Linked DNA regions of Sus scrofa. The protein of the gene in region 1 interacts with the protein of each later gene in a pairwise test. Links are inferred from orthologs where the notes say so. Each region holds a gene or a part of one and is shown on either strand. Other genes may lie near its edges.

Evidence for each region. The genes of interacting proteins can lie anywhere in the genome.
Region 2: the proteins of WDYHV1 (region 1) and NCOA5 interact in a two-hybrid assay, tested with the Homo sapiens proteins (3 studies listed by BioGRID and IntAct). The two-hybrid records come from large-scale screens. The link is inferred for Sus scrofa from reciprocal best matches to the Homo sapiens genes NTAQ1 and NCOA5.

Annotation. Positions count from the first base shown.
Region 1 is NC_010446.5:15,991,312-15,997,754, reverse strand, and holds part of WDYHV1 (protein N-terminal glutamine amidohydrolase), read left to right. Parts: intron 1-4,548; coding exon 4,549-4,648; intron 4,649-5,887; coding exon 5,888-5,938; intron 5,939-6,443. UniProt on the Homo sapiens protein: Mediates the side-chain deamidation of N-terminal glutamine residues to glutamate, an important step in N-end rule pathway of protein degradation.
Region 2 is NC_010459.5:48,234,961-48,241,403, reverse strand, and holds part of NCOA5 (nuclear receptor coactivator 5), read left to right. Parts: coding exon 1-77; intron 78-1,809; coding exon 1,810-1,946; intron 1,947-3,365; exon of another isoform or gene 3,366-3,418; coding exon 3,419-3,545; intron 3,546-5,628; coding exon 5,629-5,828; intron 5,829-6,443. UniProt on the Homo sapiens protein: Nuclear receptor coregulator that can have both coactivator and corepressor functions.

The DNA of each region.
Region 1 (6,443 bases):
GGTTAGGGGTCTAATCAGAGCTGTAGCCACCGGCCTATGCCACAGCCGCAGCAAGGCGGGATCCGAGCTGCGTCTGCAACCTACACCACAGCTCACGGCAACGCCTGATCCTCAACCCACTGAGCAAGGCCAGGAATAGAACCTCATTCCTAGTTGGATTCCTTAACCACTGAGCCACGACCGGAACTCCTTTTATCTCCGTTTTAAAGGTGAGCACGTTGAAGCACAGAGGTGTGCAAGTCATTTGCCTAAGGCCACACTGCTTGGGAGCGAAGGAATGGCGAGTTAAATGCAGAGTTTGTTTCTGGAATACACACACTGTACCCCCTATCCTGGGCCACTACTGTGGCTGAATCACTACTCTTATCGTGATTCTTTTCATTCCCTTTCCCTTACTTGATTAATGACTTCTAACCCCAATTTCCATTCCCTGCACAAGAAACCTTAGGGCCCTCTAAAGCTGCCTTTCTCTCCTCAGCTAGTCACCAAAGTAATGCTGGGAAGAGCTTGACATTCGTTCAGCTCTGACAGTGTGTCAGGCCTAGTACTTCCATCCGTCTTTGGGAGGTAGTTTTATTATTATCATTTCCCTCATTTTACCAATGAAAAAACTGGGCAGAGAGACCTGTTGTTTGCCCAGGATCACACATCTGCAAGGGTGGTGCTGAAACTGGAACCTCAGTAATGCCAGAGTCTGGAGTCCGTGCTTTGTTTCTGCCCTGCCTCTCACCTGGGTTCTGTTCTTGTCCCTAACATCCCCTCATTGTTTTGTCAATTCAGTAAATGTTTATTAGGCCCTTGGAGTGTGAGATGCACAATTTTATGCATGAGGGAGATAGCAGTGAACAAAATAGACATATTCCCTGGTAAGAGGTTTTTTTTTTTTTTTTTTTTAAGGTTGTACCGGCGGCATGTGGAGGTTCCAGGCTAGGGGTCGAATTGGAGCAGTAGCTGCTGGCCTACACCACAGACACAGGATCCAAGCCGTGTCTGCAACCTACAACACAGCTCACGGCAACGCCGGATCCGTAACCCACTGAGTGAAGCCAGGGATGCTAGTCAGATATGTTTCTACTGAGCCATGACGGGAACTCCCCCCTGTAAGAGTTCTTGATTTCTTGATTTCTTTCTTTCTGGTTTTTTTTGAGTGCATTTGTTTTATAGTGTTTTTAATTTCTGCTGTACAGCATAGTGAGGCATTCACACACACACACACACACACACACACACCCACCCTTTTTTTTTTTTCATACTATCTCCCATCATGTTCTACCCCAAGAAATTGGATGTCCCTCATAAGATTGCATAGTTCTCAAATTTCGATTGGGGGAAAACAGGCAAAACCCCTTTTAACCATGTTTGGGTTTAAGTGGTAGGAGAAAGCTAGAACAAGTTAAGGGGTAATGACTCATTGTGTTATTAGGAGATTTAAAGAAGACATTGTGGATAAAGTGATCTTTGAACAGAGATCTGAAGAAAAAGAGGGCAGGAGCTTTGTGGATATTGGCAGGAGGCCACTTCGGGTGCAGAGGCTCTCAGAAGGAAGTGTATCCTAGAAACGGCAGGGAGGCCGGCACAGTTGGAATGGAGAGGCTTGGGGGAAGGATGGTGGGAGATGAACTTCACTTCAGTAGATCGTCTCCTCTAATTCCTTCAGCCGAGGGCCAGACCCTCCTTACCTGGCCCTCGGGGCCTCTTCCAGCTGCCCTTCCTGACAGGCCTCTCTGCCCAGCTCTCCCCTGTCCTTAAGGTCTTTAACTTCAGCTGGCTTCACGTTGCTCACATCCCTTCTAAATTTGAACGTGTTGGAGAATCACCTGGGAGCTTGTAAACTATGCAGATCTCCAGGCCCCACCACAGAGCTGCTGGGTGTGTGAACAGCAACCTGGATGAGTCTGAGGCTGGTCTGTGGATCATATTTCAAGAATGCAGCCTTTGACAATAAAGTCTGCTTTCTGAGCCTAGTAAGCCCTCTAAAGATCTAGTCACCACCTGTTCCTTCGGTCTCTTTGTGAACTTGCCTTTCCTGCCCTACCCGAGGGTTTTTCAGCTTTGCCTCTGTTGGCATTTTGAGGTGGCAATTCTCTGGGGGCCTGTCCTGTGTATGGTAGGTTGTGTAGCAGCATCCCTGGCCTCTGCACACTGAATGCCCGCCCATTCCACCGTCTCCCAGTTTGTGACAACCTGAAATGTCCCCAGACACTGCCAAATGTCCCCTGGGGCTGGGGCAGAATCACTTCTGATGGAGAACTGGTGCTTTGTCCTGTCTGAACACATCGGGTAGGTATGCCTTTCTACACTGGCTCCTGTGGGTCCTCCTAGCTTGAAATAAATGCCTCCTTTCCACTTCCGTTAGCTTCCATCAGCTGTTACTTATCTTTTAAGACCCAGCCTCATGAGAACAGTGATAGCCTGTGTTTGTGTGGCTCTCTGTAGTTTGCAGAGCACTTGTGATTCTTTTATAATGGTGTTGGATTTTTCAAATATTTGTTGAGCACTTGCGTGCGCCTGGATCCTCCCCTTGAGGTCCTCTCTGACTTCAGCCCATCACCGGTAGCCATTCTTGCAGAATCCTGGCCCTAATGGTGCTTTGTCAGCGTTTCTCCTGCCAAAGTAATCAACTGGAACATTTCTATTATCATCCCCTCTTTTTTTTTAAGAAAAAACAGTTAAATGGGTTTCAGGAGTCACACCAAATCCAGGGCTTTTTCTCTGCCAGTGTTTCCACGGATAAGGCTCTCTTTTTTATTAGCATCACAAGTTTTACGAGATCCTTCTCCATGATAGTAACTGTACTCTTGAAAAAATTGATTAAAAAAGGACGAGAAACCCAGTAACTGTTACGTTTAAATTTGTTTTTTCTCTGCGTAACATTCACGCGTGTTTGAAAAGTAATAGGCGAAGTATGTCCAAGTCACATGTGTAATTCAGCTTCTTACCAGTAGTGCTTGTGGTACATGAGGATTTTCGAACCTTTTGCATTAACTCGGTGCCCACCCTTGGAATGTGCGAGGGGAGCAAGGAGCATCCACTGACCTACACCTCCTCCATCTTCCTGTATCCTTCAAAATGAACGCCTCATCTGTGCTTGCTCTATGCATCTTTCATGCCTTCTGTGATGCTCACTTTTTTATGGATCTGTATGGCTCCTCTTGCTGGCTCGTTACATTCTCCAGGCACTTAGCAGTGTGTGGTGTACATCACAGGCTCTTGTTTGTGGTCAGCTCTCCAAAATTATTAGGCTGGACAGACAGATGTTGTCTCAAAACTTGGTCTGAGAACATCCAGAGTAAAAAAAAAAAAAAAAAAAAAAAAAAAAAATTAGCTACTACAAGTTGTGTGGTACTGAAACAGTAAAATTTTGTTCCTCTGTGCTACACATCCTATGGAATTAGTAGCGATCTCCTGTTTTTACCTCTGCCATTTTTTTCTCTAAGGGTTCTTAGATATTTCAGGGGAAAATAATATTACCGGAGAAAAATGCAGACTCTCCACTTCAGTAAGCTTAGTTGTTTAGATCATTGAGACAGGTAGACAGGGCAAGACTGAATTGAAAGTGTGTCTTTCCACAGCATGGCTATAGTCCTTGGTGCCGTTTGTGCCTTGCCTCATCTTCAGGTGGCATGGTGTAGGTGGCTGGAAATTGGATTTTGACACAGTGAGTCACTTGTGTGAGCAAAATGTTGGTGTAGCTCATTTTGAGCCGAGGTGCTGTGTAGCTCACTAGAAAAAGACAGAAGCCCAAAGGCTGAACTGTGGCTTCCAGCGTGGCTTGGTTTGATGCCCTGGGCATTGCATTACTTGGGCAGTTCTGACCACTGCTTCAGAGAGCTAAAGGCATCTCATGTAGAAGAGAGATTCATCTGGGGCAGGAGTATAGGAATACAGATTTCAGTTCAGTATGAAAAACAGCTTTGTAAAAGCCAGGACCCCCCTCCATTCCAGGGGGGCCCAGGGAATACCACTCACAAGGGGCTCCCTCCAAAGAATTCCTGGGCATAAGACAACTGTCCCAGTCGTTTTTCAGTAAGGAGACCTCCTACCCCAGACACACATCCTGCCCCATTCCTAAGGGGAGCAGGAAACCAGTGTTAACTAAGATTGAGTGTTCATCACATGCTGTGGTTATGATGGTTGTGTCCATTTTACAGAGGAGAAAAGCAGGCCTTCAGAGAGGTCAGGATGTCTGAAGCTTCCTACTTTGTATGTGGCTGAGTTGGAATTCCAGCTCCATCTCAGGGCCCTGGATTATAGATTATAGAAGGCTGACGTAGTGTTTGAGCGGTGTTAAAATGCCTCCGTACAGTAGCACTGCTGACAGAGGTCCTGAGCTCTGTCTGTAGATGGGGTCGGTCACGAGCAGTATAGTTTGGTAACAGCTTGCTGGGGGTGTTTTAGAGGAAGTTCTGTCAGCCAGTTAGTTGTTGGATGAAGTGGTGATTATGGTTGCTTCCAACTTTTTTATATCGTCATCAGTCTTTTGTTCAAATTTGAAAAACAGCGCGTTCTTGCTTGCATTATATTGCTTAAGCAATTATTTTATTTCAGTGAAGAAAATATTTGGAAGCTCTGTGAATACATCAAAAACCACGACCAATATCCATTAGAAGAGTGTTACGCTGTCTTCATATCTAATGAGAGGAAGATGGTAAGTTGGTGAGTGATTGCAGGAAGAAGACAAGTTTAGGATGGAATCAGAAGCGAAATAGAGCATGAGTTTAGCACTGACCTAAAATGTGCTTTACAAAATATAACAACATTTTAAAGTTTGTTTTTGAATGAGATTTTTTTTTTTTCCCTACCAGAATGTGGTTGAGTTAGTAGAGTTTAGTCCCTTATTTGTAGGTAAGGAAATATGTGATGGTATGGTTATGCAAATTAAGTCCCCTCTCCTTGGATATTAAGTTAGAGCTTTTTATTTATTTTATTTATTTAAATTTTTTTTTTTTTTGTTCCCCCGTCTCCTCTAAGGCCGTACCCGCAGCACGTGGTTCCCAGGTCAGGGGTCCAACTGGAGCCGTAGCTGCCGGCCTCCGCCAGAGCCACAGCAACTCCAGATCCGAGCCTTGTCTGCAACCTACACCACAGCCCATGGCAACGCCAGATCCTCAACCCACTGAGCGAGGCCGGGGACTAGACCCGCAACCCCATGGTCCCTAGTCGGATTTGTTAACCACCAAGCCACGATGGGAACTCCTATTTTTTTTTTTTTTATTATTTACTTATTTATTTGGCCGTGCCCGTGGCATGTGGATGTTCCCCAAGCTGAGAATCCAACCCGTGCCATGGCTGTAACCAGAGCCACAGGAGTGACAACGCTGGATCCTTAACCTGCTGAGCCAAGAGGGAACTCTTAGAGCTTCTTAAATTGCTTAGATTAGAAGCACACATTCTCAGGTTTGATGTAAAAGATTTCTTTGTTTTTGGAGTTTTAATGGAACTCTAGTAAACTTATAGGAAGTATTCAGAAAAGTCAGCCTTTCATAATTGTAAAGCTCTTTTGCAAGCCTCATCTTGTTTGATCCCAGTGGAAACCCTGTGAAAGAGACAAGGTTCAGACAGATGTCTGCATTTTATAGATGAGGAAGTAGAGACATGGGGAGGTCCTGTGAATAATTAAGTGGGAAAGAAAGACTTGAACCTGCCAGGCCTTCCAATTCCTAGTTCAGGTCTCTTTCTACTCTCTAGAGAACATCTTATAATTAATTATTGCTCTTTCATTGTTAAGGACACTTGGAAGGATTTGGATTTCTTCCTATAATTCATTTTTTTCACCTTGATTGTTGGTTGATTAGAAACACTTTATTTTTCATGTATGCATTGCTTTAAAGAATTTATTAGTGGTTTAACTGAAGTTGTGGCTTAAGAAATTTGTTGAATTTTTCAGATTCCTATCTGGAAACAACAGGCAAGACCTGGAGATGGACCTGTGATCTGGGTAAGATCATCAACACGAACAGCCTCTGATGCATTAGTACTTGTAATCTGTGAATGGTCTTTGTGTTTTGGTAAAGCAGAAATTATGGGGCAGTAGATGAAGGCTATGGTAATTATTAGTAATTTGACCTTTTGCCAATAATTGTCATTTGGTCTAAGGTTGAAGCACTTAGGACATGTGTTCTTTTAATTTTGAAATTATTATAGGAATGATTTTAAGTGGCTGATGTGGCAGGTATATTTGTGTTCTGGACTCTTGTCTGCTTAGCACTAAAAAGAACTTTAGCAGTATCTAGTCTGGCGGTACAGTAGAATGATCCAGAGACTGTTAAAAATAGAGGTTTCTTTTTCCTTCTTTTCTTTGCTTTTTTCTTTCCTTCTTCTTTCTTTCCTTCTTTCTTTCTTTTTTCTTTCCTTCTTTCTTTCTTTCTTTCTTTTTTTCTTTTTTTCTTTCCTTCTTCTTTCTTTCCTTCTTTCTTTCCTTCTTTCTTCTTTCTTTCTTTCCT
Region 2 (6,443 bases), on another chromosome or scaffold:
AGGGATTTTCGAGATCACCGGGACCCCATGTATGACAGATACAGAGATATGAGAGACTCCCGAGATCCTATGTACAGGTACATGTACAGCTATTTCATTCGTCTTTTGTATGTGTGTTCTGACCTAGTCGAAAGCTCTACAGCACTGACTTCATTAGCCCTATGTGTTTCCAGTGTCTTATCAGATAGTAGATGTGCTCCTCAAATATTTGCTGAGTGTGTGAATGGTTGATAGATTATGCTTAGTGAATGAACCTAGGTCTCCTCTTGTGGCTTATGAAAGGCAGCATTGTGCAAATGGAAAAAAAGATGGAGTACAAATTGTTTTGGTCATGTAAAACCATAGGAAAGATACACAAATGGCCAATAAATACCTGAAAAGATGCTTGACGTCCTTCGTTATAAAAAAAATGCAAATCAAAGCCACAATGAAATACCACTTCATACCTACCAGGATGGCTACAATAATTTTTTTTTTTTTTTTTTTTTAAGCAAAGTAAATGTTGGAGTTCCCACTGTGGCACAGTGGAACCAAATCTTACTGGGAACCATGAGGTTGCAGGTTCGATCCCTGGCCTCACTCAGTGGATTAAGGATCTGGCATTGCCATGAGCTGTGGTAGAGGTTGCAGACGTGGCTCGGATCTGGCATGGCTGTGGCATAGGCCAGCAGCTGTAGCTCCTATTGGACCCTTAGCCTGGGAACCTCCATATGCTGCCAGTGCAGCCCTAAAAAGCCAAAAAAAATTTTAAAAATAGAAAAGTAAATGTTGGCAAGGGGTGGAGAAATTGGAACTCTCATACATTGCTGGTGAGACTGTGAAGTAGTATAACCACTGTGAAAAACAGTTTGGTGGTTCCTCAAAATGTTAAATATAGTAGAGTTAATGACCCATCAGTTCTCTTCCTGAATATATCTCCAAAAGAATTGAAAAGAGGAACTCACACAGATGTATGTGAATATACATAGAAACACTCTTCACAGAAGCTGGAAAGTAGACACAGCCTAAATGTCCACCAGTAGATGGATTTAAGCAGTGGTATATCGATACAGTAGAATGTTATTCAGCCATAAAATAGGCAGTTGTAACACCTGCTGAAATCTTGATGGACCTTAAAAACATTATGCAAAGTGAAATAGGCCAGACAGACACAAAAGACAAATATCATATGATTTCATTTTTATGAAGTATTTAGAAAAGGCAAATTCATATCAGACACAACTTAGATTTACAAGGAGATCCTGCTGAGTAGCATTGAGAACTTTGTCTAGATACTCATGTTGCAGCAGAACAAAGGGTGGGGGAAAAAAATGTAATTGTAATGTATACATGTAAGGATAACTTGATCCCCTTGCTGTACAGTGTGAAAAAAAAAAAAGGCAAATTCAGAGACAAAGTAGATTAGAGGTTACAGAGATGACGAATGAATTTCTGTTCAGAGTGATAAAAAGTGTTTGTCTTTTTTTAACTATAATTTAAAAAAAAAACAGGGAAGGAGGTGGGGGCATGGAATGAGTCCTCAAAACTAAAATTATCGATAATTGCTACCAGTTATTTTGTATTTACTTTAGGCCAGGGATCTTACTTTATGCTGAGAGCTTTCTGTACATCCTCCCAGTCATTTTGGAAGGTAGGTTAATAACTCAGTCACAGCCACAGAGCTGATAAGCGGTAAATTGCAGATACTAATCCCAAAGTCCTATGCTTTACTATGCTTACTACCTCACAGACAACCGGGGCTTAAAGAATTCTCTGTATTTGATTTTTGCAGGATAGGGCTAATCTTGTGCAAATTTCTTTTAACTTCAGGAGAGAAGGCTCATACGACCGATACCTGCGAATGGATGACTATTGCAGGAGGAAGGATGACTCTTACTTTGACCGTTACAGAGATAGCTTTGATGGACGAGGCCCTCCAGGCCCAGAAAATCAGTCTCGTGCAAAAGGTAAAGTAGCAGAAACAGTTTATTCTTATTACTAATAGAACACTTGACAAAAGAAAGAAACTGATAACCGACTGGAAGGAGGCTAATGACTTGGCTAAGCAATTTACAAAAAAAGAAATACAAAGGGCCTATTCATATATAGAGAGTACTCATCTTAAAAAATATTTGTAAGGAGTTCCCATTGCGGCTTAGTGGTAAAGAACCTGACTAGTATCCATGAGGACACAGGTTCAATCCCTGGCCTGGTTCATTGGGTTAAGGATCCAGCGTTGCAGTGAGCTGTGGTGTAGGTCACAGACACGGCTCTGATCCCGCATTGCTATGGCTGTGGCGTAGGCTGGTGGCTGCAGCTCCATTTCAACTCCTAGCCTGAGAACTTCCATACTCCATGGTTGCAGCCCTAAAAAGGCAAATTAGTACCATCATCTAGCTTAGTCATCTAACAAGAAGAAATAAATATGAAATTCCAGCATAAGAAAAGAAATAAAAACAGAAGATTGGAGCTGAAGAGGTTAGGTGCATGCTTTTTCCCCATTGATCAAATAACTACAACTATCTGCATTATGTATGTAGCATGTAGGATTTTTTGTTTTAGTTACAATTTTTACCCAACAGCATCTACTTTTTGAGTAAAGACAAACATTTTTTTAAGAGCTTTGTTTTTCTCAATACATCTTTAAAGATTTTTAAGTTGTTTCATACTTGGTCAAGAACTTCTTTTGTTTTTTTTCTCTTTTCTGGGCCACACCCATGGTACATGGAGGTTCCCAGGCTAGGGGTCTAATCGGAGCTGTACAGCACAGCTCTGTACAGCACAGCTCACAGCAACACGGGATCCTTAACCCACTGAGCGAGGCCAGGGATAGAACCTGCAACCTCATGGTTGCTGGTCGGATTCATTAACCACTGAGCCACAACGGGAACTCCAAGAACTTCATTTTTAATTTGTTATAAAACTTATACTTTACTGCCTCATTTTTAAAAAACAATTACAAGTACCTGTCTTAAATAGTTATCCCAAAAATGAAAATTAGAATAATAATGAAATACCATCTTTTACCTATCAAGTTGGCAGGAGTGGCTTTTTTTTTTTTTTTTTTTTTTTTTTTAATGACAGTACTCAGGGTTGACTAAGATGTGGAGGAACAGCACTAGGTGATCCACCCCTGTGAAGGAATAAATTAGTTACAGCCTTTCTGGAGGGCATTTTGATAGCATGTTTCAGATTAAAATAGTACCTTCAATCCAGATTAAACCATACCTTTTAGTCCAGTCATTCCATTTCAGTGAATTTGTAGTAAAATAATAATGGTTAATTTTAGGAAATAGTCTAGAGTATTAATTCAGAGAGAGAAAGTGTATGTGCTCAGACCTTCGCCTACAAGTAGTTCGGGATTCAAAATGAGGCTTGTGACTTACTTTCATAGAAAGGTACAGTCCATGTTTCAGTTTTCCTTGGTATTATCTTGCAGAGCGTTTGAAACGTGAGGAACGGCGAAGAGAAGAGCTTTATCGTCAATATTTTGAGGAAATCCAGAGACGATTTGATGCTGAGAGGCCTGTTGATTGTTCTGTGATTGTGGTCAACAAGCAGACTAAGTAAGAACCCTTTGGATGTTTCTCCTCTGTAAGAAGGGTCAAAAGAGAAATTCAGGCTCCTTCTTGGCAGCCATACACCGGACTTGGACTGTGTATTCTGGCATTGCTGCACTGTGTTAGTCAGAGTTCTGTCAGTTTAGGTGACAGAAAAAGCAATGCAAACTGGCTTAGGTCCCAAAGGGAAATTTTTAGTTTGTTTGACTGGGAAGTTCATCCAGGGTCAAACTGTCATAAAGACTTGGTATCTGTATTGCCTTCATTCTCAGTCCTTTTTTTTTTTGGCTCTTTTTTAGGGCCACACCATCGACATATGGAGGTTCCCAGGCTAGGGGTCAAATCGGAGCTACAGCTGCCAGCCACAGCCACAGCCACAGCAACACACGGTCTGAGCCGCATCTCCAACCTACACCACAGTTCACAGCAATGCCAGATCCTTAACCCTCTTGAGGGAGGCCAGGGATCAGACCTGCAACCTCATAGTTCCTAGTCAGATTCGTTTCTGCTGCGCTACGACGGGAACTCTCTCACACAGGCTTTCTACTTGAAAAGGCAAAAAGACACTGGCGCTAGGCGTGTATCTTCTTAGCTTTGCAAACCCATGGAAAGAGAGCGGGTCTTTCCCATTGCTTCCACCTGAAGTCCTGGAATTGATTCTCATTGCATTGTCCTGTGACTTATTTCCTCATCCCTTAACTAGTCACTTTGGCCAGCAGTGCTGGGGTGCCTAATTGGCCAGGGCTAGGTCATGTTCCCACCCCCAGGGCTAAAGGTGGGATTAACCCTGTGGAACCATGTGGACTGAGTGCGAAAGAGGTGCCTTCCTAAAGGAGAATTGAAGAGGGAATATATGCTGATCAGGGAAACAGTAGACCTCCCCTTGATGGGACAATCCCACATCCCCAAGCCGTATATCTCTGCGTTGTCAGCCAAGAGCCAGGTCTTCTTTGTGAAGTGCCATGGCCTTGCAGAGCTGGTAGGTGACCATGGTAGTCAAGCCAGAGTTCACAGCACCGTTTTACTCCGTCTCCCTTTCGCATTCTTTCCTTGAAGAAGCAGCACGGAGGTGCAGAAGGGAGTATAGCAGCTTGTAAGCTTGGCAGTGGCTGTGTTCCCTTTCCCCAGGTGGTTAGTAAATAACTTCATGTGTTTTCTAGCACTTTGGGGTTAAAGAGCTGATTTCAAGGAAGAGATTAGGGAAATAGGTGTTGAGACACCAAGCAGCAGGCAGAGTTCACAGACTCTGGGCTGCCTTGTTTAGAAATAGATGCTGCTTTAACTTATAGATAGCTTTTGTTTTTTCTTTTTTCTTTTTTTTTTTTTTTGACATACAATAATAGCTATCATTTTCTGAGCACCTACTGTGTACTACCCCATGCTAGGCACTTTAAATTATTTTTTTGCTCTTCACAGTCATCATGTTTACCTGTGTATTCATTCAGCACATTTTTTCTATGTATGGCAGGTGCTAGGTCCTGGAGCTGTAATGCTAAGCAAACACACATGGGCCCTTCCTCTTGTGGAGCTTATACCCTAGCTGGACAGATGACAGAAATAAATGTATTGGTGATGAGTCCTAGAAGAAGAAATATATCAAGGATCTGATTTAGATTGGAGAGAAAGTCAAGGAAGTGACTTATGAGCTGAGCCATATTATTCCTGTCTTATTGGTAAAGAAACTGAGGTTTGTAAGAGGTAAAGGGACTTGCTTAAAGCTTCAACTTTGCAAGTAAATGTTAGTGCTAGGATCCAAACCTATCCTCCTAGCATTTAAAACCCATACTTTTCCCACAGTGTTGTACAGCTGCTGCAAAGACAGACATGTGCCACAGGTCAGTAGGATGGTGTTGAGGAACTGTCATTAGACTAGAGAAGAGAAGGACCTGGGTATTAAATACTGTAGCAATGACAACTTCATGTATGAATATTCTGGGCCAATATGAAGAGAAGGAATCGGTCTAGATCTTTGGAACCTGAAGAGAGCTCGAGGGAGCACGGGGAGGGCACACAGCTGACTGAGGTGCCTTAGTTTGCACGTTAGGAGTTGGTCAGGGAGTGCTCACTAAGATCCTCTTTGTTTCTCCAGAGATTATGCTGAATCTGTGGGGCGGAAGGTTCGAGACCTAGGCATGGTAGTGGACTTGATCTTCCTTAACACAGAGGTGTCACTGTCACAAGCCTTGGAGGATGTTAGCAGGGGAGGGTCTCCCTTTGCTATTGTTATCACCCAGCAACACCAGATTCACCGCTCCTGTACAGTCAACATCATGTTTGGAACCCCACAAGGTATGGAGGCCCAAGTGGGTCAGAATGCCAGAGGTGGTCACTAGTCCATTTTATGCCTTCCTCAGAAGCAGCAGGTTTTAAGTAAATGTATTTCAGCTTAAATACATTAAGTGGTAGGGCCCTTTTATAAGGGCACTGGCAGAGGCTAGTGTAGTCATTTATTCATCTGATATTCTTTCATTTGGTGTAGTTCTGGGCCTGCTGTATTTGACATTATATTTAGCCCTTAGGTATATACAGTGATGTGCTGGCAAACGTTTAACCACCAGTTCTGGGGTAGGGGACGGTGTGGTTTATAACATTTGCTGATTGCCATGGTGTAAATACTCCCACTGTGTTCTATTTCAAGCCACCAACATGAAGTCACTTCAGGGCGAGTTGGGAAGAGATGCACACAGTCTGCTCTCTCCAGTGAGAGCCAGCTCCAGCACGGCTCTGGCACGTACTATGCTGTGTGCTATACAGTCCTCGCTTTCACCAGACTTTCTAATGAGGGACAAAGAATACAGCAGGCAGTTAGGATACTCTTTGTAAGTGTGCTAGGGAGGTGGGCGGAGGGACTGTGAGAACAGGAAGGAGGCCTGGGGTAGGTTCTTTGAATTCCTTCCCTGAAGT